Elephas maximus indicus: one gene and its partners. The protein of the gene in region 4 interacts with the protein of the main gene of each other region in a pairwise test. Links are inferred from orthologs where the notes say so. Each region holds a gene or a part of one and is shown on either strand. Other genes may lie near its edges.

Region 1 (7,170 bases), on a different chromosome or scaffold from region 4:
AGAAATTTTCTTTCTAGAAGAATTAATTCCAAGCCCTGGCTGCCAGTTCTCTGAGCACAGACACCCTTCTCCTCACCCGCTGGGGCAAGGGCCCTCAGACATCAGTTTTTTGGGCTGACGGTAGAGGTATGCTTCCAGTTTTCAAGCATCTACTAAATGCCAGGCACAGTGAACAAGGTGGATGAGGATTCTTGACCTTGTGCAGTGAAAATGTGAGACCTGGGAGGTCAGCAGAACCAGATTCTTCTCTCGTTTCTGCCCCAGACTCCCTGGTTGACCCTTCCAGGCCTACCTGTCCTCTCCCCAAGGGGAGGGAGAGAGGGGCCCCTTCAGGGAAGCCATCAGCCCCTTGGCATTGCCCTCAAGTAATACCTGCAGGAACCCCGAGGCTATGGCCCCTGGACACTCTGCTAACTCAGAGCCAAAGCACTCTTAAATCTCGCTTTTCTGGCAAAGATTAGACAGGCCTATAAAACAAACAATAACCCAAGTGAGAATATGCTCCTTAGTGCAATCAGATATATGAGACCAAATGGGCACCTCCTGCCCAAAGGCAAGATGAGAAGGCAGGAAGGGACAGGAACTGGACCAATGGACACAGGGAAGGCGAGGTAGAAAGGAACAGCATGCTGTCCCATTGGGGGGACTGCAACCAATGTCATAAAATAATATGTTTATAAATTTTTGAATGAGAAATTAACTCGAGCTGTAACCTTTCATCTAAGGCACAATTTTAAAAAGAAAGAAAGAAAAGGATGGTCCCCGCAGCATCTTTTATAGCAGTGAATACCTGGGAACAACCTGAAGGTCCACCAACAGGGAAAAGAGAAACAATGTGGGTGGTCACTCACTGGGACACTCCTCTGCAGTTAAAAGGAATGAAGGGACCATTATTTCTCGTCATGGGTAGACTCTGACAGCTTAATGATGTGAAGGAAAAAAAGAAAGAAAGAAATTGCAGAAGACTCTTACAGTTAGGTAATATTTATGTAGATGTCAAGAAAGAAAACAATTCTGTGTGTTGTTTATTGATGCATTACATATATATGCAGTAAATTTATAAAAACATGGACTGGAAGGGCTGTAATTTATGACAGTGGTAGACTCAGGAGGGAGAGAAACAAGACTGGGAGGGATATGGGCGAGGGGTTCGATTTCATGTTACTTTTAGTAATTTCATTAAAAAAAAAACTCGGAAGTAAGCATGACAAAATGCTAACATTTGTTAATTCCTGGTATTGGGTTCCTGGGATATTTAGTGTATTAGTCTCTTTGCTTTTCTGTATTTTTAAAAATCTCCACTTCCCCAATAAGGGATAGTGACAAGAAAGCTGTGGGATAAGGGAACTGATATCTATTAAGACCTTTCTCTGCACCAGCCATACATTAGGTCAGTGGTTCTCAAAGTGTGATCCCGGAACCAGCAGCACCAGCATCGTTTGAGACTGCAAATTCTCTGGGGCCCTGCCCCAGACTACTAAATCACAAACTCTGGGGCTGGGGCCCAGCAATCTGTGTTTTAACAAGCCCTCCAGGTGATGCTGATGTATTGCTAAATTTGAGAACCACTGGGTTAGACCTTAATAGCTACGACAATCCAGCCACTAGTTGCCAAGTTCATTCCAACTCATGGCAACCCCATGTGTGTCAGAGAACTGTGCTACGTGGGGTTTTCGATGACTGATTTTTTCTCCCCCAGAAGTAGATTGCCAGGCCTTTCTTCTGAGGTGCCTCTGGGTGGACTTGAACTTGCATCCTTTCTGTTATCTGGAGCCGGTTAATCATTTGCATCACCCAGGGACTCTGAAGCTATGGCAACAAATTAAGCATGTATACCTATCAGGCGGTCTCTAAGAGCTTTCCCCTAAGTAACTCAATTTAATCCTCTAAACAACTCTGTGATGGAGGTATTATTATTTTTATTCCCAGGAAACCCAGGCACAGAAAGGCCAAATCCCCTACCCGAGTCCTCTCCCTTAACCACTACACTAAACGGTCTCTTTTTAAGAGGCAACAACCTCACGTACACAACCTCTCACAAACTCTAGCTCACTGTAGCAGTTGAGGAAGGAATTAATAGCCCTGTTTTACCAATAAGGAAACTGGGATTCAGAGAAATGAAGTGACTTGCCCAAGGTCTCATAACATCCTGTGGTCTCCCCAAGAGGTTTTGGGGTTTGACTCAGACCTCTTGGGGGTCCCGGCCAAGACCGGCAGGGAAAGGGAGCTCAAGGAGTTGGCCCAGCTGCTACCCCGCCTGGGTGTGGCTCATAGGTCACGCCCCCACCCAGCTGCCCCCTTCCCGCTCCGGCCTGGGCCGGAGGGGATCTCGACCAGCTGCCAGCCCGCTGTGACTTGTCATCCTCCCCCACTGAAAACCTGAAAGGCCCTCCCCTCCCGTCTGCTCATGGGAGCCGCATCCCTTCCTTCTCTTTTTTTTTTTTGCAGAAGGGGAACCTGGACGGCAAGAGAAGTGGCACTCGAGCACAAAGTCACTCAGCCCTCCCTTTGGGCTACCCAGGCTCCCAGCTGGGCCATGGCAGTTCCTCCTTGACCTGGGCACCCACCTGTCCCCGTTGGTCCTCTATCCCACCGCCTGTCCGCGGCTCCCCGGACGCGCTCTGCTCCCGCCCCTCCGACTGGCTGCACCCACAGGCAGCCCTGCCCAAGACCCCGGGCTCCCTCCGCCGCCCGAGGACCCCGAGCTCACCGGCCAGGTGCTATCCCCCCGCCACCGGCCTGTCCGCGACACTCACCTGGGTGCCCGCTCCTCGTCTCGCGGGCAGCCCGGATTCTCGCAGCTCGGGCGCCCCCCCAGCTTAGCAGCCCCCGGGGTTCCGGGGCGCCCGAGCCTGGAGGAAAACGGAGTGACTTTCGAGAAGAAAATACTGGGGCGCGGCTCCCAGGGGCTTCGGAGCCGCGGGCCTTCTCGGACTTTTCTCCAGCTGAACCGGCTCGGTCCCCTCCCACTCGCCTCTGAGCCTGGGCGGAGCCGGGGGGCTGGAACCGGGGACTCGCGGGCGCCCACAGGCCAGAGGTACTTTAGCCCCGCCCCGCCGGTGTTAACCCCTCCCCAAAGGAGCCTGACCCCTTCCCCCAAATTCTAACCCCACCCCAAGAATTCTAACCCTTTCCCTGGGGAGCCTACCCTGGGTGCACTCCTCCCAGGAGCCGGGATTTTTAACTCCGCCCACTGGAGGCTTTTAACACAGCCGTCAAAGGTCCTCACCCCGCCCCAAGGATTTTAACCCGTCCCTCAAAGAAGCTAGCCCCCATCTCCTCCTCCCCGTATCGTGACACCGCCCCTAATATACTCTAACCTCGCCTCGGAAGGAGCCTAATCCAGTCCCCGAAGGATTCCAAACCTTGCCCCTAGGGCTTCTAACCCGCCCTCCAGAGAACCCTAACCCGGCCCCCTCCTCCTAAGATCGTAACTGTGACCGCAGAGGATTTTCGATTCCACTTCTAAAGGATTTTTAGCCTCGCCCACCATAGATTTCTAATCCTGCCCCCAGGGATTTTAACTCCTCTAATTTTTTATTAGTTCTAAAGGAGCCCTGGTGGCACAGTGGTTAAAGCGATCCACTGCTAACCCAAAGGTCGGCGGCTCGAAACCACCAGCCGCTCCGAGGAAGTAAGATGTGGCAGCCTGCATCCTAAAGGTTTACAGCCTTGGAAACCCTATGAGTCGGAATCCACTCTACGGCAGTGGGTTTCTGGTTCTTCCAATGATTCTAACCAGGTTCTCAAGATTTATAGCTCTAACCCTAGGAATTCTAATCCCACTCCTGAGTGATTCCCGCGTTTGTTCCAGAAGGATTTTAACCTCCCCCTCAGGACTCTAACCCTGCTCACCCGAAGGTTCTAATCCGCCCCCCCCCCCGGGATTCTAACTCCACCTATCAAAGGATTCGAATCCCTCTTTTCAAAGACTCCAACTTAGTCCTGAAGGGTCCTAACCCCCACCTTGTCTCTCCCAGCAGGGTCCTAACCTGCCCCCCCCCCAATTCTAATCCCTCCCTTGTCCACCAACTCCCTAAAGAACCTAACTCGGTTGCCCTCCCTCCTCAAGATTCTAACCTAGTTTCCCCATCTCCCTTCATCCCACAGGAGTCTAACCTGGTACTCCACCCTCCTCTGCTTTAAGTTCCTTCTCTGGGGATCCCGAAGTCCTCGCCACCTCTGGGTCTCCCCATCCACCCGCCTTTTAGCCCAGGCGCCTCTCCCACGCTGCATCCCTGGCCTTCCCGGCCCTTCTGTGGTCAGTGGTTTCCCGTCCACAGGCCCTGCCCTAGTCAAACGCCATGCAAAGCTCTGCGCCCGCAAAACTGCCCTTGGCTGGTTCCTGCCCATTTCCTGGCAACACAGACAGCTTCCCAAATTGAGAAGGGTGGACAGGAGGCAGAAGGGTGACTGGATGGGATCCGGCTCAGCGCTGGAGAAGAGCACAACCCATCTGCCCCTGGAAAAGAGAGGAACTGTCACCCTAAATTCTACCAGACACAACTTTAAAATGTACTGTGTCTCTCTCTTCCACAGCCACAAGCCAGCTCTGGCTACCGTTGTCTCTTATTCATTCATTCATTCATTCATTCATTCATTCATTCATTCATTCATTCAGCAGTACTGTGTAGGACACTGTGCTGAGCGCTGGGATAAGTCAAGCTTCTCATACTCGGTACTCTGGACTTTTGGACTTAAAATTTTTCTTGAAAGGGGGCTAATCCTGTGAATTGCAGGCTTTTCAGCAGCGTTCCTGACCTCTACCCCCTAGATCCACCACCTGTGTACTTGCATGAACAATCAACACCCATGGAGGCAGCAGTCAAGAAATCAAAGGACAAATTGCATGGGGCAAATCTGCTGCGAAAGATCTCTTTAAAGTGTTAATAAGCGAAGATGTCACTTTGAGGACTAAGGTGCACTTGACCCAAATATATGAGGTCTTTTTGACCGCCTCATATGCATGCAAAAGCTGAACAATGAAAAAGGAAGACGGAAGAGTGAATGCATTCAAATTGTGACGTTGGTGAAGAATATTGTTGGAAAAACAACAAATTAGTCTTAGAAGAAATACAACCAGAATGCTCCTTGGGAGCAAAGGAGACTTTGGCTTCTTTATTCTGGACACATCATCGGGAAAGACCAATTGCTAGAAAAAGACATCACGGTTGGTAAAGCAGTTGTTGTTAGGTGCTGTCAAGTTGGTTCCGACTCATAGTGATTCTATGCACAACAGAACAAAACATTGCTCTATCCCCCGCCATCCTCTCAATCGTTATGCTTAAGCCCATTGTTGCAGCCACTGTGTCAATCCATCTCATTGAGGGTCTTCCCCTTTTTCACTGACCCTCTACTTAACCAAGCATGATGTCCTCCTCCAGGGACTGATCCCTTCTGACAACATGTCCAAAGCATGTGAGACATAGTCTCGCCGTCCTGGTAAAGTGTCTGTTAGTTTGTCATACCGTGGGGCCTTGCGTGTTGCTGTGATGCTGGAAGCTATGCCACTGGTATTCAAATATTAGTAAGGTCACCCATGGTGGACAGGTTTAAGCTGAGTTTCCAGACTAAGACAGACTAGGAAGAAGGACCTGGCAGTCTACTTCTGAAAAGATTTAGCCAGTGAAACCTGGTAAAGCAGAGAGTCAGCTGAAATGAGGGAAACCCTGAATGAGATGGATTGACTCATTAGCCAAAACAATGGACTCAAACATACCAATGATCATGAAGATGGTGCAGGACCAGGCAACGTTTCCTTCTCTTATACATAAGGTTGTTGTGAGTGGAAGCCGACTTGATGGCAACTGGCAACTGGCAACTAAGAACAACACACTAGATGCCAGTAGCACACACATCCCCCAGTTGTGAGAGCCAAAAATGTCTCCAGACATTGCCAAATGTCCCCTAAGAGCTCACAACAATGAACAAGAAAGACAATGCCTCTGCTCTTATGTGTTTGGTATATGTGCTTAAATATATGTATATACTTTAAAAAAAAAAAGTAGGAAATGTTTTAAGTGTGTGTTTAATTTACTTGAATCGTACTTATAAATTTCATACTTTTTTCACTCTATCACTGTGCTGTTAATATCTAGCCACGTTGCTGGAGGTACTGGTTGTTCACTGCTTCTAACTACCATGTAATCATTGTTTACATCCTCCACATTTTATTTATCCATTTCCCTAGTCATGGACACCTAGATTGCACCCAACTTTTCACTAACATAAACAATGCCACACTAGGCATCCTTACATACATCCCCTAGTGGACCTGTGTGAAAAGTTTTAAGACTTGCTTTTGCCAAAAATGATAGATACTTGCAGAATGGCTGCCACCCAATTTCTCTCCAACAATTTCCCCATTAACTTCATCAACTTTTGGTATCACCCCCTGGTCTTAATATGAATTCCCCAGAACCAAACCTTAGACAAGGATTCAAGTGAAAGTAGCTGTTTTTTTGGAGACACAGATAACACTGGTAGAGACGTGAGTGAGATAAGGAAGGGAAGGAAACCAATTAAGGAAGCATTATCAAGTGAGCCATCATAAATTGGAACCAACTCAGTGGCAACTAACAATAACATCAAGCAAGTTACCAGTGTGGGCAACTGGAGCTCAGTCCTGCTGGGGAACTCTGGGAGACAGTGTACTCTACCACTTGAGAGTTATCCTACCTGATAGATGAGGTAACTAAGACATTTACACACCAACTCCTGTCAGACAGTGGCTAATGGCTACTCCCAGGCCGTGTCAATGCCTGGGCAGAGAGGGATCCAGCCACCAGAGAGAACCTCCAGGAAGAGATGCCGGTCCTGGTAAAGGCTGAGGGGACATGGGAGGGGTGTTATCTGCATCTGCTACATCTCCTTCCAAATGTTTGCCATTCTGATGGCAGAGGGTCACACAGAGCTGAAACATTCTTCTGTTAATGACCAATTTTCTAATTCATTGCTGTTAAAGTAATGTTGTTATAAAAATTCCTGTACATGTTCCCAAATCTCTTATCAACTTTATTGTGGTATAATTTTCATACAATAAAATGCAACCTTTATAAATGTACAGTTTGATGAGTTTTAACAAATATGCACACCAGTGTAACTACCTCCTCAATCAAGATACAGAACATTTTCATTGCCCCAAAAAGTTCCCTTATGTCCTGTTGCAGC
Region 2 (7,178 bases), about 170 Mb from region 4:
CCTCACTCTGGATTACTACTCGATGGCTCCTTGACTCCGAGCCCCCAGGCCACCCCAGATATCACTCAAACCCAAGCGCCCAGTTGTACGTTTTCCATGCAAGTGATCCTACCTCACGTTCCCTGGGTGTACCCTCGATGGTCAGGAAAAAAGAATACTCAGGTTGGGCAAGGACAATGTCTTCTGTTGGGAAAGCCTGCTTTTTAAGGGCTGCTCTCTAAACTTCTCTACATTTAAAGAAAGGATAGAACAGTATGGCAGGAAGCTTTTAAGAATTAATTTCCCAACCTGTGTGTGTTATTTTGAGTTGGGGCAGGAGCAGCTGGGCTTTAAAGTGGCTTTAGTGTATACTTTCAGAATATCAAGAAGTGTTGTCCTCAGAAAGATACTAAATAAAACTCTACATGTTCAAAGGGTCTCTGGACCCCCTACTCCCAAGCAGGACTGCATTCTCAAATCCCCACCTCCTAAACCTCCTAAAAGGCAAAGAGAAAATAAACCAACTAGGTGAGTTTCACAGACTCTAGGTCCATCTTACCTTGTGAGGAAAAAAGCAAGGGGTCGTTTTTGTAGACACTGAGTACAAGGTGACCCCAGCACATTCACATTCTATTCCTCCAAGGCTGGTGACAATCCCCCCAGCCAGGGCCCAGACCCTAGGTGTCCTCCCCTCTGCTCCACCTTTGGCACTATACGGGCCTCTCTCCCCTCAGCACCACCTGAGGCCAGCCTCCTTCTCTGACAACCCTTCCCAGCAGCCTCCTGCCCGTCTGCCAGCCGGGAGACCCTGCTTGTAGTGGCGGCACAGGCAGCAGATGGGTCCAGCAAACTACAGTAATTAGACCAGGAACTTGTAGTCTGCTCAGTTCATTGTTCCCCAAGATCTGCTTCCTGGGGAAGCAGTCTCCTGCTGGGGTGGGGGTGGGGGGGGGTCAGCAAACCTCACACAAGGAAAAACCGCTCCAAGGCCCCAGCTACCCCCTCCTTCCTCAGCTGACCAGTTGTTGCACAAAAGAAACCAAAACAGGAGGATGGACCAACACAAATCCTTCCCCACTGTGGGGGTGGCTGGTTCTCCAAACTCATGCCTAGTGGTGTGTGAAGACTCACATCCTTTTGTATCATCGAATGAGGCAACTGACATGCACATCTTAGTGAAAAGGCTCCTGTGCATGCCCCCAGAGTGCCCCCTACCCGACCTCCAGTGTTCAGACCACTCCCCACCCAGGGCCACCTGCCTGTGCTCCTCCTTGCCCCAGCTTCAGCTCTTTTCCCACTGAGGACGGGTGACAAAGGGTCAGCCTCAGTCTGGGCACCGGGAGCGACTGTTCCACGCAGGCCTAGGGCACTGCGGTGCCAGCAGCATCACCCTTCCTGTCCCGCAGTAAACAGGGCAGGGAAGATTTTAAAAGAAAACAACAGTAGCAGAGAAGAGGGAAAGAAAGTAAGTGGGAAAAACAAAAACAATTCAACTAGAATCTGAAATGCCTTCTGGGAGCCTAAGAAGGACACCAGAGCACCCACATGTCCCCAAGACTGGCATAGTGAACACATGATGTGCTGAAGTGGCGGGGGCGGGGGGGGGGGCTCTCCGAACAATCCCAGCTCCTCTCGAGCCCCCTTTTGTAAATAATTTATTGACAAGTGTGCATTTTGACAAAGATTTCCTTAAGGCAAGGAGGAACCTAAGGCTTCCAAGTAGAAGGGGGGCACAGCTCTAGGACAGACCCCAGAGGGGCACAGCTCTAGGACAGGCCCCAGAGGGGCACAGCTCTAGGACACGCCCCAGAAGGCAGGGGGCACGGGGTATTATACACACTGGTGCTCTTCGAACTTGGGGGCCAGGAAGGATGACAAAACCAGGTGTTGAGGCCTGGCACCATGCCCATCTCCTAGATGTACCCCCATCCCACCCAGCTCCCTGAACTGTAATCACTAATTTTACCATTTCCAGGCTTCACACTGGAGCCCTGTTGGCGCAGTGGTTCCCTAAGACTCAGAATCAAGGGATCAACTTGAAGGGAGCAAGTTTTAGGCTCCAAGCTAAGTCCTTCTTCTTCTCCTTGGCATCCTGACATAAAGGGAATGCAAACCCAAAGCTCCTAGGAAAACTCTCCCCACCAGCCCATCTTCAAGTCTGCAGTAACGCTTCCAGAAATTCAGTCCTTTGGGTCTTGACAGTTTTAGTAGCTCTGCCTCAACTATTGACAGCTAATGCTTCCTGGGAATTAGTTCACTGAAAACTTCCTAGTCGCAATTATCTGGGAACAGGGTCCCTTAACAACGGAAGCCCAGTTGAAGAGAGGAGGCAGAGCGAGGGGAGAGACTTAAGTGAGGGGCACTGAGTAAGAGCAAGACTTACCTCCCGGGATTCACATTTGGGCTGTGGGACTTTCACTGCTGTCGTGCAAGGGGCTGGGAAGTTGGGAGAAAAGCCCGGTTCTCTTCTTTGGGGACTAGCGGCGATTCGCACCCCTCAAATCACAGGCACCCCCTTTGCGTAACTCCTATAGAGACAATCATATCACTGTTCCCCATCACCTCACCTCCTCCAAAAGAAAACCCGGGCTGCTGGGCGTCATTACTGTCGTCCCCTCACGTCCCCCAACTCCTCGCCGCACCTAGGAGCCCCTCTCCAGCAGGAGAGTTAGGAAGCACCAGCTCGGGGGCGTCCAGCTCCGAGGGGGGAAGGCTTCCGAGGGAGGGAGCGTCTCGGCTCCCCACTCACCCCTCCGAGAGTCGACTCCAGGACCGCGCCAAGACAAAAGCGTGGGGCGGCTCACTCACCCGCGCTGCGAAGGCGGCCCGGGAGTCGAGCATCGGCGCTCGGCAGGGGCGCACCGGCCGCAGGCGCGAGGCGCGGGCTCGTCTGCAGAAGACCGGGAACCTGGCGGCGCTGGGAGCCGGCGAGGCGCGTCCCGGCCGGGCGGGCGCGGACCCGGGGACCTGGCGGGCAAGCGAGACAACCAGGAGCCAGCGCGCCCGTGCGCCAGCGAGTGAGCGCGCCGCTCCCGGAGCCGGACGCACGCTGCGGACTCCACACTAACACGCGCTGGTTTGCATGCCATTTGCATAACGCTCGGGGAATGGACCTGCCTCCCCGGCCGCCACGCCCACGGCGCTCTTCCTCCGCCGGGTCCCGAGCGCAGGACCCCGAGACCAGCTCCGGTAAACTTTCACTTAAAGCACAATAAAAGAAAGAAAAATTTTGGCTTGCTTAATATTTAATTTGCACCTGATGTGAAGTATTTTGTAGTTTTTCTCATCTCTTAACTTGGATCCTCTTTCCGCCCCTCCCATGCCCTCTTTTTTAATCCTTTATTTGAGGCCGGGGTCATTTTTAAAAACAACAACAAAAACTTTTTATTGTAAAATAAAACATAGACACAGATAACCTCACACACACACACACACACAAACTGTATATATATATGTCCTTGTAATCCCAGCCTAAGATCAAGAAATCTGCCAGCCAAACTAGAAGTTTCTCCATATGTCCCATCCCTTCCTTCCTTCTCCCACTATCCTGCCTTTTATAGACAGTAATCACGTACTTGGTGTTATCACTCAAGTGTACATCTTGCCTATTTTTTAAAAACTTTGTGTGAATTTCAAGTTTTTTCTTATAATTTATCTGTTGGAGAATTTAGGCATGTTCATGAACAGTTCGGCTTGTTCCTCTGTCTTCTAAATTTTCTCCAATTTGGCAGCTGATCTGTAAGTGTCGTCAAACTGACGTTTGATCCCGTTTCAAAACTATAGGTGGTGGTATGTTCCTTTATTGAGAGGCACATGATGTCTGTTTTTGGATCTCCTTTGAGCTTAGCAGCTGTTGATGCTCAATTCCAAGACCCATGAATTCATCGAGGGCTGCAAAATGATATTCTAATTCTACCATTTTGTTTTCATTTATTAGCTGAATACGTTTATAAACCGATGCTTACCCTCACCTACTATTTGGTTACTCTGAGATAAATTCATGTAGGAAAAACAGGATAAACACTTGCTTCTTTTTATGAATTGATGCAGTTTTCAAGATAATAAACTGGTCCTCCGTCATCCTCAAAAAGTGACTGTGGTGGTTAAGGTTGTGTGTCAACTTGCCTGGACCGTGATCCTCAGCAGTTTGGCAGGTATGATGTAGTCTGGCAGCTTTTTAATGATGTAGTCACCTCCATAATGATATCTGACATAATGTGATCACCTCCATGATGAGATCTATTGTGAGCAGCCAATCAGTTGAACGGGAGTTTCCTTGGGGATGTGGCCTGCATCCAATATTGGTAGACTTTCTGGCAAGGCTTGCTGGTTTTTTCTTGCTCTGGATCCTGCAGCTGGGTCCTGTTCATCTGACTTCTGGTTCTCACGACTTGAGCTAGCAGCCTACCTGCTGTCTTACCTGGCCATCTTGGGATTCGTCGTCGGCCTCCACAGCCTGTGAGCCAGAGGCCTGCTATCTGATCTTCCAATTTTGGATTCACCAGCACCTGTGGCTACATGAATCAGGAGAAGCCTCGAGCCTGACCCACAGATTTGGGACTTTCCAGCAGAAAAGAGGAAGACCCTCAACAAGGTGGATTGACACAGTGGCTGCAACAATGAGCGCAAGCGTAACAACGATTGTAAGGATGGCGCAGTGTTCCGTTCTGTTGTGCATAGGCTCGCTATGAGTCGGAACTGACTCGATGGCACCTAAAAACAACAACAACACAACCTTGTAAGCCATTTCCTTTATATAAATCTCTCTCTATGTATATTTATATGCCACATTGGTTTTGCTTCTCTAGAGAACCCGGCCTAAGACAGTGACTTATTTTCTTTTTCTTAATAACATTATGAATTCATGGATTTAAATATATTTAAGGTGTTTTAATCTACTGCAATTCTAATCCTCACTGAAGCTCAGATTGCCCATCTTTGGCCGGTAGGAACCTCTTCCACTTGGCTCCTGGGTCCTTTTGACACACACTAGTGGTCTTTGATAGCTTCCTTGCTTTCTGAGATGACAAAACGTTCCCGGTTCATCTTGTACATTTGCTGCCCCAGACCCGGGATTAGCCATTTCTCCAAGAATCCCTAGTTTCTTTTAGTGAGGGAATGGTGTCCACTGCCACGAGACTGGTAATTGTTTTTAGGCCTTTTGAGTAGACAGAACGAAGATAAAATATTTCATGAGTTCATACTAATATTTCCAATTCCATTTTAGAACTATAAGGTTTTACTTAAACTCTTCCATATTACAGTGGGATGTCTTTTCTTCTACTTGGAGGATCCTGGTTCTCAAGGATACAAGGGATGATGAAATTAGAATATCTCATTTTACTAACTTGTTTTATTTTACATTAAACATACAGTAACCTCAGAATGACAATATTAATACTATCATCAATGATGATTCTTGAAAAGTTAATTTTTTTCATATACTGTCTATTTTATTACGATTGGACTCTATATTCCCAGCTTCTATAGCCATTGCATACTATAATTTTTACCATTTAACCCTCAGGATTAGGAATCGACTTGACAGCAACTGATTTTCTGGCTTAGTCATTTTTTTTAATTTTTATTTCAAAAAGTTTTTATTTCTATGTTGTTATTAGTTGCCATCGAATCAATTTCAGCTTATGGTGACCCCATGTGTGCAAAACAGAGCTACTCCATAGGCTTTTCAAGGCTGCAAGCTTTTGGACAAGCAGAACCTAGGCTTGTCTCCTGAGGTGCCTCTGGGTGGGTTAACCATTTACATCACCCAGGGACGCCATTATTTCTACGTTGGTTGCCATATATAAATAAAACCAAAACCATGCTGTTGAGTGGATTCTGATTCATAGTGACCTTGTAACTATATATACACATAGAGTTATTTTTTTATATGTATAGTTATTGGTTATTGTGGTGAAATACATGTAACAAAATATTTCAGCCATTTTTGCGTGTACAATTTGGTGACGTTAATTACATTCACCATGCATGTTGTACAATAATCTCTGTTTCCAAAATTTTTCATCATTCTTAACAAAAACTCTGTCCCCCTTAGGAAACACTCACATCTCCCCCTCCCACCTGCCCTGGTAACCACTAATGAACTGTGGTCGCTACGCACTTACCTCTTCTGGATGTTTCATATAACTGGGATCATACGATACGTGTTCTTTTGTGTCTGACTTATGTCAGTGTAATGTTTTCAAGGTTCATCCATGTCATAGCATGTACCAGAACTTCATTTCTCTTTGTGGTGCAAAATATCCCATTGCATACCCTATTTTGTTGATCCATTCATCTGTTAACGGACACTTGGGTTGTCTCCGCGTTTTGGCTGTTACGAATAATGCTGCCACGAATACTGCTGTACAAGGACTCATTTAGTCTTAGTTCTATAAGTAAATACATATTTAATGAACATCATCAGTTCTTTATGTCTATGTCTTTCTAGTTTAGTCATTTTGATTTTCTGAAATCTGGTTCTCTAGTAGATTCCTTAGGAAGGCCTTATGGAAACAATATTCCCTGAGTTCTTGATGTCGATTACAGTTTGAAGGTATATTTCAAAGTCACTTTTGCTGTATATAAAATACATGGTTTGCATTTTTTTTTCCTTAAAAATCTTAAATATGTGTTTAAGATTTCTTCCGGCTTAAAGCATTGCTGTAAAGAAGTCCAATACGGTCTCACTTATAAGTTATATGCTGTTTCTGCCTAGATGCCCAGAGAACGTTTTTATTTTCTTTAAAGTGCAGTAATTTACCAGATTATATCTGTTTGTCATTGGGTTTGATATTTCCCAGGTACACTCTGTGTTCTGTAAAATGTAGTTGCAAATATAGATATTTTTTAATTCCGTGTGTGTTTTTTTGTTTCCCCCTCCCTGTAGGGGATAGCTGCTTGACTATTCAGTGTTGTAGCTAGAAGAGATATCGAAGAGAGAAGGCTTCAGACAAGGAAGTAACTCAGTGGGGCCTGAGCCTCAGTTTCACGGGTTCAAAAACTAGATCTTAGAAATGAAATTGGAGGAGGTCAGGCTGAAAGACTGGCTTGTGTTAAGATGAAAGTCGTGTATGAAACAGAATTTCACTTAATTAACTTATTGTGAGAATGACAGCTGCCAAGTTCCCTGTTTTATTGGCAAGAATGTGTGCCTAGGGAAGCCAATGTAGTTTGCCTGGGAAGTATCGACTGAA
Region 3 (7,910 bases), on a different chromosome or scaffold from region 4:
AAAACCTACTCTGAGCTCTAGTCCATGAACCCAGGCTCAGTTTGTACCCTGGGCTCTGGTCCAGAATTTAGGCCCACTTTTTTATTTATATACCCTAAGATCTATTTCAGAGATCCAGGCTTAGTACCTAGTCCAAGCTCAGCCTAGGGATCCAAGCTTAACAGCTGATCTGGGCTCTGGCCCAGGTTGCCAGGCGAAGAATCCAGCCTACAGGAGTGGTTAGTCACATCGAGATTTTTGCCAGGGACAGATACCATCACCAGTGAGAAGCCAACCCTAGGCCAGGCTTCCTTACCAGGATATAATCAGCCCCCCAGTCCCTGGCAAAGGTCAGAGCTTCCTGCTTCAACTCCATCAGAAACTGGTACCGTTCTTTGGTCCAGTGCTTGGGACCCTCTTCGTCTGGGTAGGACCTGAGGGAGTAAAGACATGACATGTTCTCATGGTGTGGGTATCTCTCCCTGTCTGTAGGGCAGTGGACAGAGCCCTGGGCTGGCCCTGGGCTATCCCTTTTCCTCTCTGGGCTACAACTGTTCCCCATCTTCTCCAGAACCTTTCCCCTCAGGTCACCACCTGGGCTCCCCCTCGGGCCTCCAGACCACAGCTGCATAGTCATTGCCCACAGCAGCCAACCACTCCTGCAGCATCTCCTTGGTGTTATCTATGTTGTGGTCAGTGGCACACCTGGGGACAGAGAGGAAGAAGGGTGAGAGGTCACAGCCACAGAAGGACAGAAGGGCCAAACCCAGACTTGACCCCTGGAGCACCAACACCTATAAGGCTGGTCACCCCAGGCCACAGGGGAGGGTGGCACTGAGGCTAGGTGTGCTACAGTGGCGGGGGGAAGAGGGGCTGGAGGCAGGACAGCCAGGTCCCAATCACAGCTCTGTGACCGGCTGTGTAACCTCAGGTAGGTCCTGTTCCCTCTCTGACTTCAGTTTCTCCCTCTGTTGCTATAAGCTTTCCTGACCATGTCATGGGCTGAGAGAACAGAAGGTAAATGTGTTTTGAAAAATGAAAGGTACCTCGACTTTGAGGAGCACACCTGCTACATTCCCTGGTTACTTTCTCTCCTTGCTGTGTGACCACAGGTCAGTCCCTTTCCCTGTCAGGACTGGACAGAACAGTGCTGCTTCCCTCCACCGGCAAATTGTAATAAGGGTCAAACCATGCTCTGAGCTCCTGGAGAAGTGCTGATGAGCCCAAGCCCAGGTGCCTCAGAGCATAGGTCTCTTCTCCTGGGGAAGGGGCTCCGGTGACAGAGAAGCAGGGCTTAGCCAAGAGCCCCAGCTTGAGTGATGCTGCCCCTTTAAGCCAATTCCCCAGGAGTGAAGACTAACTACGTGTCAAGTCTTGGAGGGGTGGGAACTAACTCCCAAACTGTGGTAATTGTGGGCAGCCTCCCCAGGCCACGGCTCCACCTCCAACTTTGGTGTCTTGGGTGGTGGGGGTGGGGGGGTAGTTTGTCATTTCTCTTAGTTTATCCGCAGCCTCAGCTCAGGACTCCTCCCTGTTCTGGCTTCCAGAGACTGGAGGTTGTGGTCTCTGATACCAGTGCTGTATGCAGATGCCTGCGGGGAGAGACTCCAGGAAAGGGACAGTCCCCAGCTGTGCAGTCCTTGGCGGACAGGGCCTAGCTCAGCTGGAGGAGAGCCAGTCTGACTCCCCTGCAGAACTGCATGCAGCCCAGGGCTGACAGCACTCCCACCTGCTCCCCAGGAAGCTCCAGTCCTGCTGATTCCAGCCATGTCAGGCCCCAGGGGATTCCAGCCTCAGGGGACTCCTGCCGGTCCAGTGTCTCCAAGTCAAACCAACCACAGGTCCCACAGAGTTGAGTTTGGGCTCCAAGGGCTGAGGTAAGAGGGCCTGGGCCCAACTTAACACCCAGAGGCGGTCCCAAGAGGAGAAGAAGGGGGCTGGAAGAAGGGGTGGGTGTCCCTGGGTCACCCCCACGGCCTAGACCTAGGTCTACCTTTGCCAGCCAGGGGCTTGGGACTCTGGAGGGCCTGTTTGCGAGGGTGGGGCCTGTCTGGGCAGGGAGCAGATGAGGCCACCGGGGCCGGGAGCCATCTAGGAGGCTGGGGGGAGATGTCCCGTGGGTACCAACGCCTGGGTCTCTCTCACCAGAGGGCCAGCCTGGCCCGGGGGTAGTCCAGCCGCTCCAGTGCGCCCAGGTAGTGGGGCAGAGAGTGCTCTGCATTGCGGGCCAGGATGACAAGGACCACGGCCGGCGGCGGCGGCGGCTCCGCGGTGCCCGTACCCACCAGCCGCGACCCCAGGAGAAGCAGCAGCTGGAGCAGCAGCGGGGCGGCGGGAGCAGCGTGCATGGCGGGCGCTCGGGCGGCGGCAGTGGCGGCCCCCGGAGCTCCCCGCCGGGCCGAGGGGAGTGGGCGGGGCGGCCGGGCGGGCGGGGCCCGGGGCGGGGCGGAGCCGAGGAGGGTTAGGAGCCCCTTTCCCTACCCCTTGCCCGGATTCTCGAGTTTCTGCCCCTGGGCCAGGGGCGTCGGGAGGGCCAGGGCCGGGAGACCCGCCCCAGACGCACCCCAGGAACAGGCCCCCCCGCCTGCGCGGGACCCTGGAATGGGGAGAAGGGAAGGGGAGGGCCTGGGGTGACGGCATTGGAGCCGCCCGAGCGTGTAAGAGCGCTCGACTCTTCAAATCCCTGATCGTTCGACCCCCAGAATCCGGCTTCACTGGGCGTCTGACGCGCCTGAATCCAGATTCTCTGGTCATCCAACCCTCGGACTTTAGCTGCAGTTCCCGCAGGGCAGCACCGACCCGGCCGCTACCTTTCCGGGGTTCCCCGGCGCCCGCCTCCGCCTCTGCCCCCGGGCGCCCTCTGGCGGGTCCAGATGGGAGCTTCGCAGACCAGAGAGGCGACGCGTAGGTCTGAGAGGAAGACCCGGTTTGGAGGGCGGGAAGAGGGTTTCCCTGGCCTGGGCGCGCCATCCCGCGGCGTTTCGCGGCTGGCTTCCCCAGCGCGTCGTCGTCCTCCGCTCCAGCACCTCCGCTGCTTCGACCCTTTAAGAGAGCAAAGCCCACACTTCGATTGATTGAACTGTTGAACACCACAGAGCCCCTCACAGCGACCCAGTCCCCTCCAAGTCAGGGGCTCCAGCCTCCCCTGGAGCAGAGCCTTGGTCCTTAGGACCCTGCTGGGATGGGAATGGGTCTGCAGCAAAAAAGAGAGGGACCTGGAGGCACTAACGGTGGTTTCTAGCCTTGTATGTACTGCCTATCTCAGACAGGCCACTTCCCTGAACGTCAGCATTCTCATGGATAAGATGGGGCCTATAACACCTGAAGGGTTTGCAAGAATTCCTTGAGAGAATAAATGCACTTGAAGCTTCTGTGGGAAGTCTAGAACACAGGGAGGGCTCAGGAGAAGAGAGGTCAGGCGGAGGAGGCCCCAGGAAAGGCAGGCATCTCCCCCACATACTCACCCTTCCATCTCACCTGGACGATCTGCTTTCCTTCAGGCACCTTTTGACTCTCTCTCTCAGCCTCCTCCCAGAGTCAGGTAGGCAGATTAGGCCTGGGCACACTATCTTTGCTGGTAGCCATGGGGCCCAGCCAGGAATGGACTTACCTAGTGATGGGACAGCTTGTAGGGGGGTTGAACTCCTGAGTCCTGACCTCCAGCTGAGCTCCAAGGCCTCCATCAGGCTCAAGGTCAAAGTTCCCAGGTAAGGCCATTTCCCAGCCAGTGACCTACAATGAGAAGGGCCCAAGGCCCCAAGAAAGCATCCTGGGGAGATTCAGGAATCCCCTCCCTTGCATTAGTAGCCTCTGGCCAGAAGGCACTCCCAACCCCAGACACAGCAAAGCAGTGTTCTCTACCTCACTTATCCCAGAGTCATCCCAGAGTTCTCCATGTCTTTGAGCCTCTGCCCATCCTCTTGGTCATGGGGTCTTCCAGATTCTTCCCTGGCCTTGAGTCTTCTTCCTTCTCCCAAATGCATCAGCCCCTCCCATTTACACCTCCCTCCCCAGCCCACCTAATGATCCAACCTGTCACTGACTCCCTTATCCTGGGGTCCTCCCATCAACCCTCCTGGAGAAGACCCAACTGTATAACCATCTTGCTTGTGGGGACGTTGGGGCCACTGCAAACTCATGATATCCATCCTCACCTGGATTCTCACCAAGCCCACCATGTTGATTCCCTATGCTCCTTGGCCCCTCTTAGTGGCATTTCAAATGACACCCCCCCCCCCAAACTGAAGCCCAACTCCACTTCCCACCTCAGCAAGAATTTCCCTGCTACTTCTTGGAGAAAAATAGAAGCCACCACCTGGGAACGTTCATTTGAAGCCTCCAAGTCTTCCACCCCTTGCCCACAAACCAGCTTCCACTCTTACCACTTGTTACAACAGAAGAGGCATCTTCCTCCTCTCAAAGAAATGACCACAATGCCATCCCCTTACAGCTCCTGTTATCATCAACCTCCCACTCTTCTGGTTCCTTCCTTCGGCATTCCAAAAGATGTAAATCTTCCCCAACTTAAAATAAGAAAATACCAGGCTACCTCCCTGCCCCCAGTGGTGGCCCTAACTCTCTTCCTTTCTTTAGGCCAAACATCTTGAAGGGGTGGGGGGTGGGGGGAGATCTGTGCTTTGCTCCCTGTCTCACTGACTCACTTCCATTCACTGCTTGACATACACAAAGCCTGCTCCAGCCAAACTGCTTCTGCCTGCCACTCCCCCCAAGGGATACGTCCTCCTCATCCTAGAGGGCTCAGCCTCTTAACAGCAGCTGACCACATGGGCCATTCCCTCTTTGTGGAAACTTAGCATGTATCTCAACTGCCCACCTAGACCCAAACTCTACCTGTCCAAAACAGAACCCCCACCTTTCCCCCAAACCTGCTCCCCCTGCAGTGCCCCTCCACCCTAGGAAATAGCACCTCCGCTCATCCAGTCCTTCAAACTGAAGACCTGGGAGTCACTGATGACAAGTCCTTCTTTCTAACCCTATATATCCATACGATCACCTTGTCCTGGCAGGGTCACTTCCTCAGTGTCTCCTGCACATGGCCACTTTCCTTCTGCACTGCCACTTGCCTGGCTCAGGACATCAGCATTGTTCACCTGGGCCACTGCACCTCCCAGGCCTCCCCACCACCAGGCTTTCTCCCTGGAAACCATCCACACTCAGCAGCCCTTTCTAAATGTCTGATTTAACACCCTCAGCATAGAGCTCAAACCCATCAAGGGCAGGGAGGCCCTGCATGGCTGGCCTGCAGCTTCTCCAACTCCTCTGCTTCTCCATTCTTCTCTCCACTAAACCTTCTGCTCTAGCCAAACTGGGCTATTCACAGTTGCCAGAAAACTGCATGCTTTTTTTATTTTTTTGGTCCCTACGATGCCTAGACTGGTCTTTCTCCTCCAGCCCAACTCCTATAAGCCCTTCAGTATCAGCTTAAACTTCCTCTGGAAAGCCATCCTTGATGTCATGTCTGCGGGACCCTATATGGCATCCTATATGATCCCACTTATTCAACAAAATATATTGAGCACCAGCTATGTGCAGGTACAACTCTAGGCACTGGGAATATGAGGCACACAAGACGGACATGGTCTCTGCCCCTAGGACACTTACATTCTGGTGAGGAAGGCTGGAAATAAACAAATGGAGAAGCAAATAAGACAATTCCAAAGGACGGTAAGTGTTATGAACAAAACAAAACAAGTAAATAAGAATAGAGAGTAGGGGGTGGGAAGCAACATGTAGATAGAGGGGCCAGGGAAGACATTCCGGAGCAGGAGAAGCCAGCCTAGGAAAGATCTGAGGGAAGAGTATTCCAGATGGAAGGCATGGGTGGGTCAAAGATCCTGAAGTGGGAACAGGCAGGGAGGCAAGCATAGCTGGAGCAAAGGCGCAAAGGGAGTGTGCTACGAGGTAAGGGTAAATAGGTAGACGGGGCCAGGCCACATAAGGCCCAGAAGCCTAGCATGATTTTGGAACTTTTTTATAAAAAAAAAAAACACAATAGGAAAGTGTTGTTGAGCATAAGCAGAGAAGTGACATGACCTGTCTTTAAAAAGACCGTTCTGGCTGCAGTGCAGAGGGTGGCCCAGGGGCAAGGATGGAGATGCTCGGACAGAAAGAGACGATGTGAACAAAACTGAGTTGTATAATGGAGGCAGAGCTGACAGGCCTTGTGTGATCGGATATGGGAGAGAGAGGGAGGAATCAAGGATGATCCCTACTTAGGCTTTGCAACTGGTTTGGATAGTGGTGTTATGTTTGCTGACTGGGGAACACCTGAGAAGGAGCAGGTGGGATGTGAAAATTGGGTTCTGTTTTGGGCATTATTTTGAGCTGCCTTTTAGACCTCCAGGTCCTTACGTGGCACAAACGGTTTGCTCTTGACTACTAAAGGTTGTCAGTTTGAACCCACTCAACAGTACCATGGAAGAAAGGCCTGATGATCTGCTTCTGTGAAGATTACAGCCAAGAAAACCCTATGGAGCAGCTCTGCTCTGTAACCCACAGGATTGCCATGAGTCAGAATGGACTCGATGCTAATGGGTTTGGTTAGGTTTTTTTCATACCTCCAGGTGGAAGGATCACATGCTATACTTGCCTGGTTGCCTGGTTATCTCCTAGCTAGACTGGATTCTGAAACAGGGACCTAACCCATCCTATCTCATTCACCATGACATCCCTTACCCCTAGAGCAGACCCCCAGTGCACATGGAGTGGGCTCCAGATGTAAATGTGACTGGACATTGGCTTTGGTGGGCTGACCAAGCACCTATACTCCCACTTACACTCGTTTTTTGTCATAATAATAATAATAATACACTGCAAAGGTGTTATTTTATTGGGCCCAGTTCACAGGAATTCTAAGGCAGTGGTTCTCAAAGCATGGTGCCCGGACCAGGAGCATCAGCCTCACCTGAAAATTGTTAGAAATGCAAATTCTTAGGTCCTGCCTCAGAACTACTGAATCAGAAACTCTAGGGTTGGAGACCAAGCAATCTAATACACCTTTCAGGTGACTTTGATGCAGGCTCAAGTCTGAAGCTCCTGGCCTATGGAGTGTAAGGCCTTATTCTCTAGGTCATGGATGGTACCACACCTGGAAAAAATGACTGTTTGGGGCCGTCTGGCTGTGTAGGACCCAGACTGGACAAACCTAGCTCTGGGTTTCTCCCCACAACCATCCCTTGGCCATTGCAGTTCTGGCCAAGGCCAGGTGGTGGCGCCTGCGCCTCAGGCTTTACTCTGGTTTCCAGAACCAGAGACCCAGAAAGAACTACCCCCTTCCCAGCGCCTTCTCCCCTCTGGGAGCCTCAGCTCCAAGGCCTGCCCACTGGTGAAGGCTCTGCAGCATGACCTTCAGCAGGGAGAGGGACACTGAGGCTAGCATACCCCCAGTTGGGGGACCAGCCCCCTCTTTCAGGAGGCTAAGGAGGGGGCAAGAGGAGCCCCTTTGGTTGGAGAGAAATTAGGGGTATTGGGGCCTGTGGGAGTTGGGGTCCGGAACCCAGGCCCGTGGCCCTGGTCCAGTGGGCTCTGGCCACACCCTCATCAACCCTCTATCTATCTTCTCATGCAAAGACCCAGGTGCCGCTACGCTACCTTACCAATAGGTGGGGCCAGCCTAGAGATGCCCCCGGGGTTGCGAGTCCTCACAGCTTGAGAGCCAAGCAGGCTGGGAGTGGGGGTACAAGAGGGGGGAAGTGCTATGATGAAGCTCTTACCAGCTGCCAGCTTCACGGCTCCTGAGTTGGGGGCTCTCTGGGCCCCTGTCCTGCTTTGTAGCCAAGGGAGCCCAGGATCCTGGCCAGAGGATGGGCCCACGTCCCACTCCTGGTTCTGGGTGCAGCTCCACAGATGGGAGTCCAAAAGCCAGCTTAGGCTCCCTTCCCACCTCACGTCCAAACCCAGTCCAAGAGAAC
Region 4 (6,931 bases):
CACTGGAGGTATCCATATCTTGATTATATAAATTCTTCTACTATGGCAACATGGTTTGAGGTATTAATTTCTAAAACCACTGAACTATGGAGCACATTTGTTATATCAAATGTAAGCAGCCTCAAATAGTATGCCTTAATGTTCATATATTTAAATCAATATAACTATCTAAATTTGGCAAAAAGTTATAGAATGGTTTTCTAAGAATCTAGATGTCTGAAGACTGATAACACTATATGCAGCAAGCCCTGAAATCACGCAGACGGATACAGCAGACCTACTATGAAAGGCAACGCCGGCGTTGAACCTCTCTCCTCAGCAGTACACAACTGATTCCATAACCCGTTGCTGTTGATTTCGACTCACAGCGACCCTATAGGACAGAGTACAACTGCCCCATTCGGTTTCCAGGGAGCACCTGGTGGATTCAAACTGCCGCCCTTTTGGTTAGCAGCCGTAGGTAGCTCTTAGCCACTACGCCACCAGGGTTTCCATACAAGGTGTAAAAATTACTAAATTATGGAAGATTAATACTACAAACAGACAAGTCATTATAATGGAAAAAGCAAGAAAACAAAAAAACCAAATCAAGTTTACGTCTCTCCCTCTACATTTTCTGAGACCTTTAAATGAAGAGTTTCAAACATGTTGAAAAATATGCTCACATTGTGATTCGCAAGCATTTCTTATTTTGAAAAATAACGCCACCTCTAAGTCAGGGCATGAAGTCAGAATACATAATTATAACTTCTGAGAAAAAGAGCATGCATAATTTATTACAGCTTTGAATACTCATCTAAAATGCTTAAAGATGAAAAAAAAATTGAGCACTACCTCCTACTCACATAATGATTCTTTCTGCAAAATTAGATTTTAAACCGGACATCATAATATCACTGTTTAATGTTTCCGCAAGTCATTTACAAACCTGCAGTTGTAAATGATAAAAAAAGTTCTCATGTGACAAAAGCTCCTCTCCTACTTTGTTATTCAAAGCTCAAGTACTATTTCTAAGTACCATCAGATGCAATTTCACTACTTGAAAAAATAACTATCTTCTAGAAATTACTATCAATCAAGAAATCAAGAGACATTTTTATTCTACCTAGAAAAGCCAATTATTACCTTCATATCAACACTTTCATTCTTACCCTTTTAAAAAGGGTAGAAGAAATTAACAGTCCATTCAGTGGAGAAGAGGCAGAAAATCTCAGATGTGCAAACCAATGTTAATCAGATTATACCACTTTTTTTATGACTGACAGAAAAGCGAAAAAATGCTGACCACTAAGCGAAGAGAGGATGCATCTCTGATATTCATATCAATTTGGATCTGATGGGTAGTTTCAATTATCATAACTAGTAGCAACAATGATTTCTTAGGAAAACTAATGTTCAAAGAGTTTTGCACATCACTGATTATCCCATTTTTAATCTACTTTTAAAAGACTCATTCTCATTTAAATTGCCTAATTTTTTTTAAATTAGAAAATGCTCTTTATGTAATTATTTAATAAAATTAATCTATCATGATTTCTAAATATTTTAATAATGCCCTAATTTCATTTTCTGCAAAATGTGGTAGGGTTTTTTGTTTTTTGGGAGGGGAAACCACCACCACTCGCCCACACCCACCCCAAGATTACAGACTAAAACAATCATTCTTTACACACTCAAAAATAAATTCAGACTCTGGGAAACACAGTAAAGTACAAATACACAAAGTTCAATGTTAGAAGCCATTTGAATAACTGCACGGGGCTCTGGAGATGTCTGCCTGTAACCTAAGGACCAACTGTGGATGTAAACCGAGAAAGGCAATGATATTATCATATTTATCCCACAAATTCTAAGAGCTTTGATCAAATTCCCCTAAATAGTTCATGCATGCAGAGAATAGTATGTCTCTGTAACCGCAGATGCCGGTCTGGAATAGTTTAAAAAAATAAGTAAATAACCAGGCCTGTATCTGTCTGGTGTGATATGCAAACTTTGTTTTATCGACGTCTTAAATGTAAAAAGGTGGGCTAAGGTATTCATTCTTATGACAGAGAATCTTTGAGCTTAAGTCTTGGCTGGTGTAATTAGTTCCTGTTTCTTCCCCATTGAGGTGCTAAGAAGGTGATGACACGACCCCGGGAGACCCACACGTCTCTTCCTCCGTACCTTACCTACCCTGGTGGTGTAGTGGTTAAGTGCTACGGCTGCTAACCAAAGGGTCAGCAGTTCGAATCCGCCAGGCGCTCCTTGGAAACTCTATGGGGCACTTCTACTCTGTCCTATAGGGTCGGCTAAGAGTCGGAATCGACTCGACGGCACTGGGTTACCTTACCTAACTCCTTTCTTCACACACACACGCGCACTCTCCCATCACATTCATAGCCCAGGTGCCCCTGTAGGCAGTTTTCTGGAGTTGTTTCACTGGTGTATCTAAATAGGATCTAACGCCACCAGGCAGCCTGGGACTGAATGTGGCCCCGCCAGCGCCCTCTGCTCACCTCTAGCTTGTGGTTGATTTGGGACACAGTCTGGGCTTTATGGCAAAGCTGCGCAAAGCAGGAGCTCAGGCTGGTCATCTTCTGTCGCCCCTCATAAGTAATGTCCGCCTGGTCCGGATCGATCTCGCCCAGGAGTAGATCCACATCCACGAAGGCCTTATCGAACTCCTTCTCCAGCACCTCCAGCCACCGGAACATGGATACCCCGCCGGGGGAGACCCCCACAGCGCAGGAGGCGCCCCCTGAGCCCCCACCGGCCCCCGCCGGGCACGGGCCGCCCGCCGACATGGCGCCGCCTAGGGCCTCCCCTGCCTGCTGCTGACCCCCGCCGCCCACCCTGCGCGAGGGGAACTGCTGGGACTATGGGGACCCCCGCGCACGCACGTTCCGTCGTACCCCGTCTTCCCCTCGCGCGGCTAACGCCGGCAAGGTAGGCCCGCAGTGGCAAGAGCAGCGAGGCTGAGGCGGCGGCGGTGGCACACGGAAGACCCGGGACCGTCCCACCTCCGTCCCGCTCCCACTGCGCATGCGTAGCAAAGAGGCAGGCGGACAAGGCTGGCGGGGACGAAATGGGCGGGGCTAGGATAAGACTTTGGCCTATGAAAGGCCTGTGCTCGGGACCGGCTGTCAGCGGCCATCTTGACAACTGGCTAACTCCAAGTTGGATCCCAGAGAAACAGAGGCGCATGGTGTCTGCTTCCAATTTGGAAAGATCGGCGGGAGAGAGGATATCCACGTCGCAGAAAAGAACGGCTTCCGCCCGTTTGACTTCACAGTGGGCGGGAGCTATTCTAAAGTCTGGGAAAGTTGCTGCAGTAGAGTCCGGGGGCAGGGAGTGGAAAGCTTGGAAGGGCAGAGTGAGCATGCGCAATAGCCACGTTTTACCTTTCTTCTTTCCAGTTCCTGTTTAGGGTGGAGTGTTGGATACACTGGCTCTTTTTGTTAAACCAGGCCCTAAACTCTGGGAGGGAACTGCTTAAAGCTGCAGGTTGAGGAGAGCGCCTGACCAGGTTTTGCCGAATTAATAGAAGACCTTTTGTCTCGTGATTAAGAGGCAGGCCTGGGTTCAAGTGTTATGTTTCACACCCTGGCTATACAGCCTTCGTCGTGTTACTTAACCTCGGAGTCTCAAATTTTACTTCGTTCAGTAATAAGGTAAAATGCTTAGCATGGGTGCTTGGCACGTGGTATTAGGTCCTGTTACACCACAGATCATACATTTCAAAAACAACTATTTGAAAAGTGCAAGTGTTGAAGGAATCACTCAATTATTTAAAAAAAACTGGGTAGTGTTCAACACGTGACGTTTCAGAAAAATTAAACAATTTAAGTGGATATCCCCAAAGAATGGCTTGTTTTCCCCTCTCATTATAGAGCTCATGTTGATTTCTTTTTGAAACCATACATCGGAATGCAAAATGATTATATATTGTATGTATTATTAAAAAAGAAGAAAAAACCACACCCGTTCTTGTGGAGTCAATTCTGACTCAACGTACAGGCGCGCGCGCGCGCACACACACGCACACCCCAGTCTCAGTGCTTTTACTGTCAAATCTTAATCTGAAAGGGAAGGAAGCACTCAAAGGCATAATACTATGTTTAGTACTACCTCTTAAGTCTTTATGAAGATTTATATATTCGTAAATATATTAAATGCCGAACCGTGCACTGGGGACACAAATGAATGAGACATAACCCTCATTCAAGCAGGGCTCATAGGTTACTGCGGTTACTAGCATTCACAGCTACAATTTTAATTTGATTTTTGCAGTACACCTGGAAGTGTTGAGCAGTTGCCCCCTTTACCATTCCACCTACCCACTCTCAACCCCGTTTCATTTCAAGTGTAGCCCAGTCGAGGAAAGGGAAGGAGAAACCAGCCTGGTAAGAATAGGTTGGTTGGAACTTTTGCTCCTGTATTGCCTGAGGGAATATTTTACTGGCCGACTACAAAAGTCTTCTGTGACCTTGTCAGGGGACAGACCCTTCCAATTAATCACCGTCCAAAGCCTGCACCATGTGACCCTTGTCAACACCAATGAGGAACGAGAAATCACATCTTTAGTTTGTTCTCTGGGTACTGCAGGGCTGACTAATTAATGTAAGCCAGTAGAGTCCTTTGGCTCCAGCAAACTTAGCTAAGCCTTAGTAAACGTAAGATCCTTGCCCTGAGCTTATATAGGCATGTTCAGGCAGGTTTTAATACACAATAAATTATATAAAACTAAGATTTGCATTCTTCCCCACTCCCTTCCAAAACTAACTTTGCATTTATCTACGATATTCACAAGAACATCATTACTACAGCTACCGAGGTCCCAGCCTCTTTATAGGTAATATAGTTAGCAATGAATTTTCAGGAATTTGAAGCAAGTAATTTGAAACTGGAGAGGGGCACATACATGGAACCACAACAACAATAATTATAGCTATCAATTACTGAGCACTTAGTATGTGGTAGGCATTGTGGAATTTGCTTAACCTTTTTGATCCTTGAAAAATCCTCTGAGGTAGGTATTATCATTTTGTCCTAGACGGTTAACAGCTTAAGTATTGTCTTGGTAAGGTCACACAGCTAAAAAGTGAGTGAGCAGGGTTCCCGTCTAGGTGTCTTTTTTAATCCAAAGCCTTTGCCATTGACCAGGAGGCATAGAAGGATGGGAAAATCCATTTCTTCTTGTACAAATTATCAGTATAAAATGGCAAATCTGTCCAAAAGTAGTTACCTTTAAAAAAAAAAATTCTTCCCAGTAAATAGCCAAATACAAATCTCTTACTATGTAATAAATATGACAAAAATAGTAATTGTAATACTCATTTTTTTTCTTATAGCTCTCTTTATACGGCCCACCCACACTTGCAGATAAATTTCATTTCTTTTAAATAACATCATTCAACTTCTGACTATATTGTGTGAGTGTGGCTGAAGTGCATTTCAAGTGTGTATATGTGTCCAGTGCTCTAATTGTTGATGAATAGCCCCATTTTCAGGATGCCTAGTTGAATTTCTGTTACAACCCTTACAATTCCAACAAGTCACACTCTCTGTGCCTCAGCATACTTTCATCTATATTGTCCCTTCTCATTACCACACTATGGCTACGTCCCTATGCGCTTGCTGTTTCTATCACCATGTGACTATTTCAAGTGCTCTTGAGAAGCCCTGATGTAGACAAATAATCTTCTGCCCACCTTGATTGAGTTGTTGCAATTTTATTGAGTTGTTACAATTTTACAAGTCACAGCCAAATTTGGACAAGAAAAGTAGGGTTGGTTTGATGTTCAAGTGCTGCCATCTGTTGTCAACATTCTCTATCTACATTATTGCCTTTACCTACTCTGGAATTTGGAATTGTAATCTCAATACTTGCAGGATTTATTTTCCCAGAGATAATAAAATCATGATAGTTGTATTTGCAGTTGGATTGGCAGAAACCTCCAACAATTGTTTCGTGAATCATACCTATGTGATTTTTTAAGTCTGCTATAACTTAAATATGACTGTCTTGCTTTAGAAATTTATCCCTGCAGAGTTCTGCCAAAAGATGTTATTAAGAATAAATAGGGTGGGAAACTTTAAACCAAAAATATCCCCTGAAGTCTTCTTAAAACCAAATGATAATTTAGCATAATAGTAAAGAATGTCTGCCTTGAGCATAGTGTTCTTTTAAGATCTATCTGTATGGGATCAAATCAACAACAGCAACCTCAAAGATTAAGTAGGAAACCTAGGGGGCAATGATTTTATGTTAAATTGGGGAGGAACAACTCTTTTTTTTTTTTTAATAATTTTTATTGTGCTTTAAGTGAAAGTTTACAAATCAAGTCAGTCTCTCACACAAAAACTTATATACACCTTGCTACATACTCCCAATTACTCTCCGCCTAATGAGACAGCCTGCTCTCTCCCTCCACTCTCTCTTTTCGTGTCCATTTCACCAGCTTCTAACCCCCTATGCCCTATCATCTCCCCTCCAGGCAGGAGATGCCAACATAGTCTCAAGTGTCCACCTGATCCAAGAAGCTCACTCCTCACCAGCATCCCTCCCCAACCCACTGTCCAGTCCAATCCATGTCTGAAGAGTTGGCTTAGGGGAATGGTTCCTGTCCTGGGCCAACAGAAGGTCTGGGGGCCATGACCACTGGGGTCCTTCCAATCTCAGTCAGACGATTAAGTCTGGTCTTTTTATGAGAATTTGGGGTCTGCATCCCATTGCTCTCCTGCTCCCTCAGGGGTTCTCTGTTGTGTTCCCTGTCAGGGCAGTCATTGGTTGTAGTGGGATACCATCTTGTTCTTCTGGACTCAGGATGATGGCGTCTCTGGTTCATGTGGCCCTTTCTATCTCTTTGGACTCATAATTGCCTTGTGTCCTTGGTGTTCTTCATTCTCCTTTGCTCCAGGTGGGTTGAGACCAATTGATGCATCTTAG

The links.
Region 1: the proteins of GOPC (region 4) and HCK interact in binary tests that used the Homo sapiens proteins (3 or more experiments, as listed by UniProt). The two-hybrid records come from large-scale screens. The link is inferred for Elephas maximus indicus from reciprocal best matches to the Homo sapiens genes GOPC and HCK.
Region 2: the proteins of GOPC (region 4) and MYLK interact in binary tests that used the Homo sapiens proteins (3 or more experiments, as listed by UniProt). The two-hybrid records come from large-scale screens. The link is inferred for Elephas maximus indicus from reciprocal best matches to the Homo sapiens genes GOPC and MYLK.
Region 3: the proteins of GOPC (region 4) and CERCAM interact in a two-hybrid assay, tested with the Homo sapiens proteins (2 studies listed by BioGRID and IntAct). The two-hybrid records come from large-scale screens. The link is inferred for Elephas maximus indicus from reciprocal best matches to the Homo sapiens genes GOPC and CERCAM.

Annotation. Positions count from the first base shown.
Region 1 is NC_064843.1:37,418,419-37,425,588, forward strand, and holds the start of HCK (tyrosine-protein kinase HCK), read right to left. Parts: upstream 3,017-7,170; 5' UTR 2,757-3,016; intron 1-2,756. UniProt on the Homo sapiens protein: Non-receptor tyrosine-protein kinase found in hematopoietic cells that transmits signals from cell surface receptors and plays an important role in the regulation of innate immune responses, including neutrophil, monocyte, macrophage and mast cell functions, phagocytosis, cell survival and proliferation, cell adhesion and migration.
Region 2 is NC_064819.1:14,806,444-14,813,621, forward strand, and holds the start of MYLK (myosin light chain kinase, smooth muscle), read right to left. Parts: upstream 3,006-7,178; 5' UTR 2,821-3,005; coding exon 2,788-2,820; intron 1-2,787. UniProt on the Homo sapiens protein: Calcium/calmodulin-dependent myosin light chain kinase implicated in smooth muscle contraction via phosphorylation of myosin light chains (MLC). Also regulates actin-myosin interaction through a non-kinase activity.
Region 3 is NC_064827.1:79,441,294-79,449,203, reverse strand, and holds the start of CERCAM (inactive glycosyltransferase 25 family member 3), read right to left. Parts: upstream 3,022-7,910; 5' UTR 2,328-3,021; coding exon 2,125-2,327; exon of another isoform or gene 2,071-2,124; coding exon of another isoform or gene 1,973-2,070; exon of another isoform or gene 1,709-1,972; intron 685-1,708; coding exon 574-684; intron 414-573; coding exon 296-413; intron 1-295. UniProt on the Homo sapiens protein: Probable cell adhesion protein involved in leukocyte transmigration across the blood-brain barrier. Does not express any beta-galactosyltransferase activity in vitro.
Region 4 is NC_064819.1:184,795,807-184,802,737, forward strand, and holds the start of GOPC (Golgi-associated PDZ and coiled-coil motif-containing protein), read right to left. Parts: upstream 3,022-6,931; 5' UTR 2,787-3,021; coding exon 2,499-2,786; intron 1-2,498.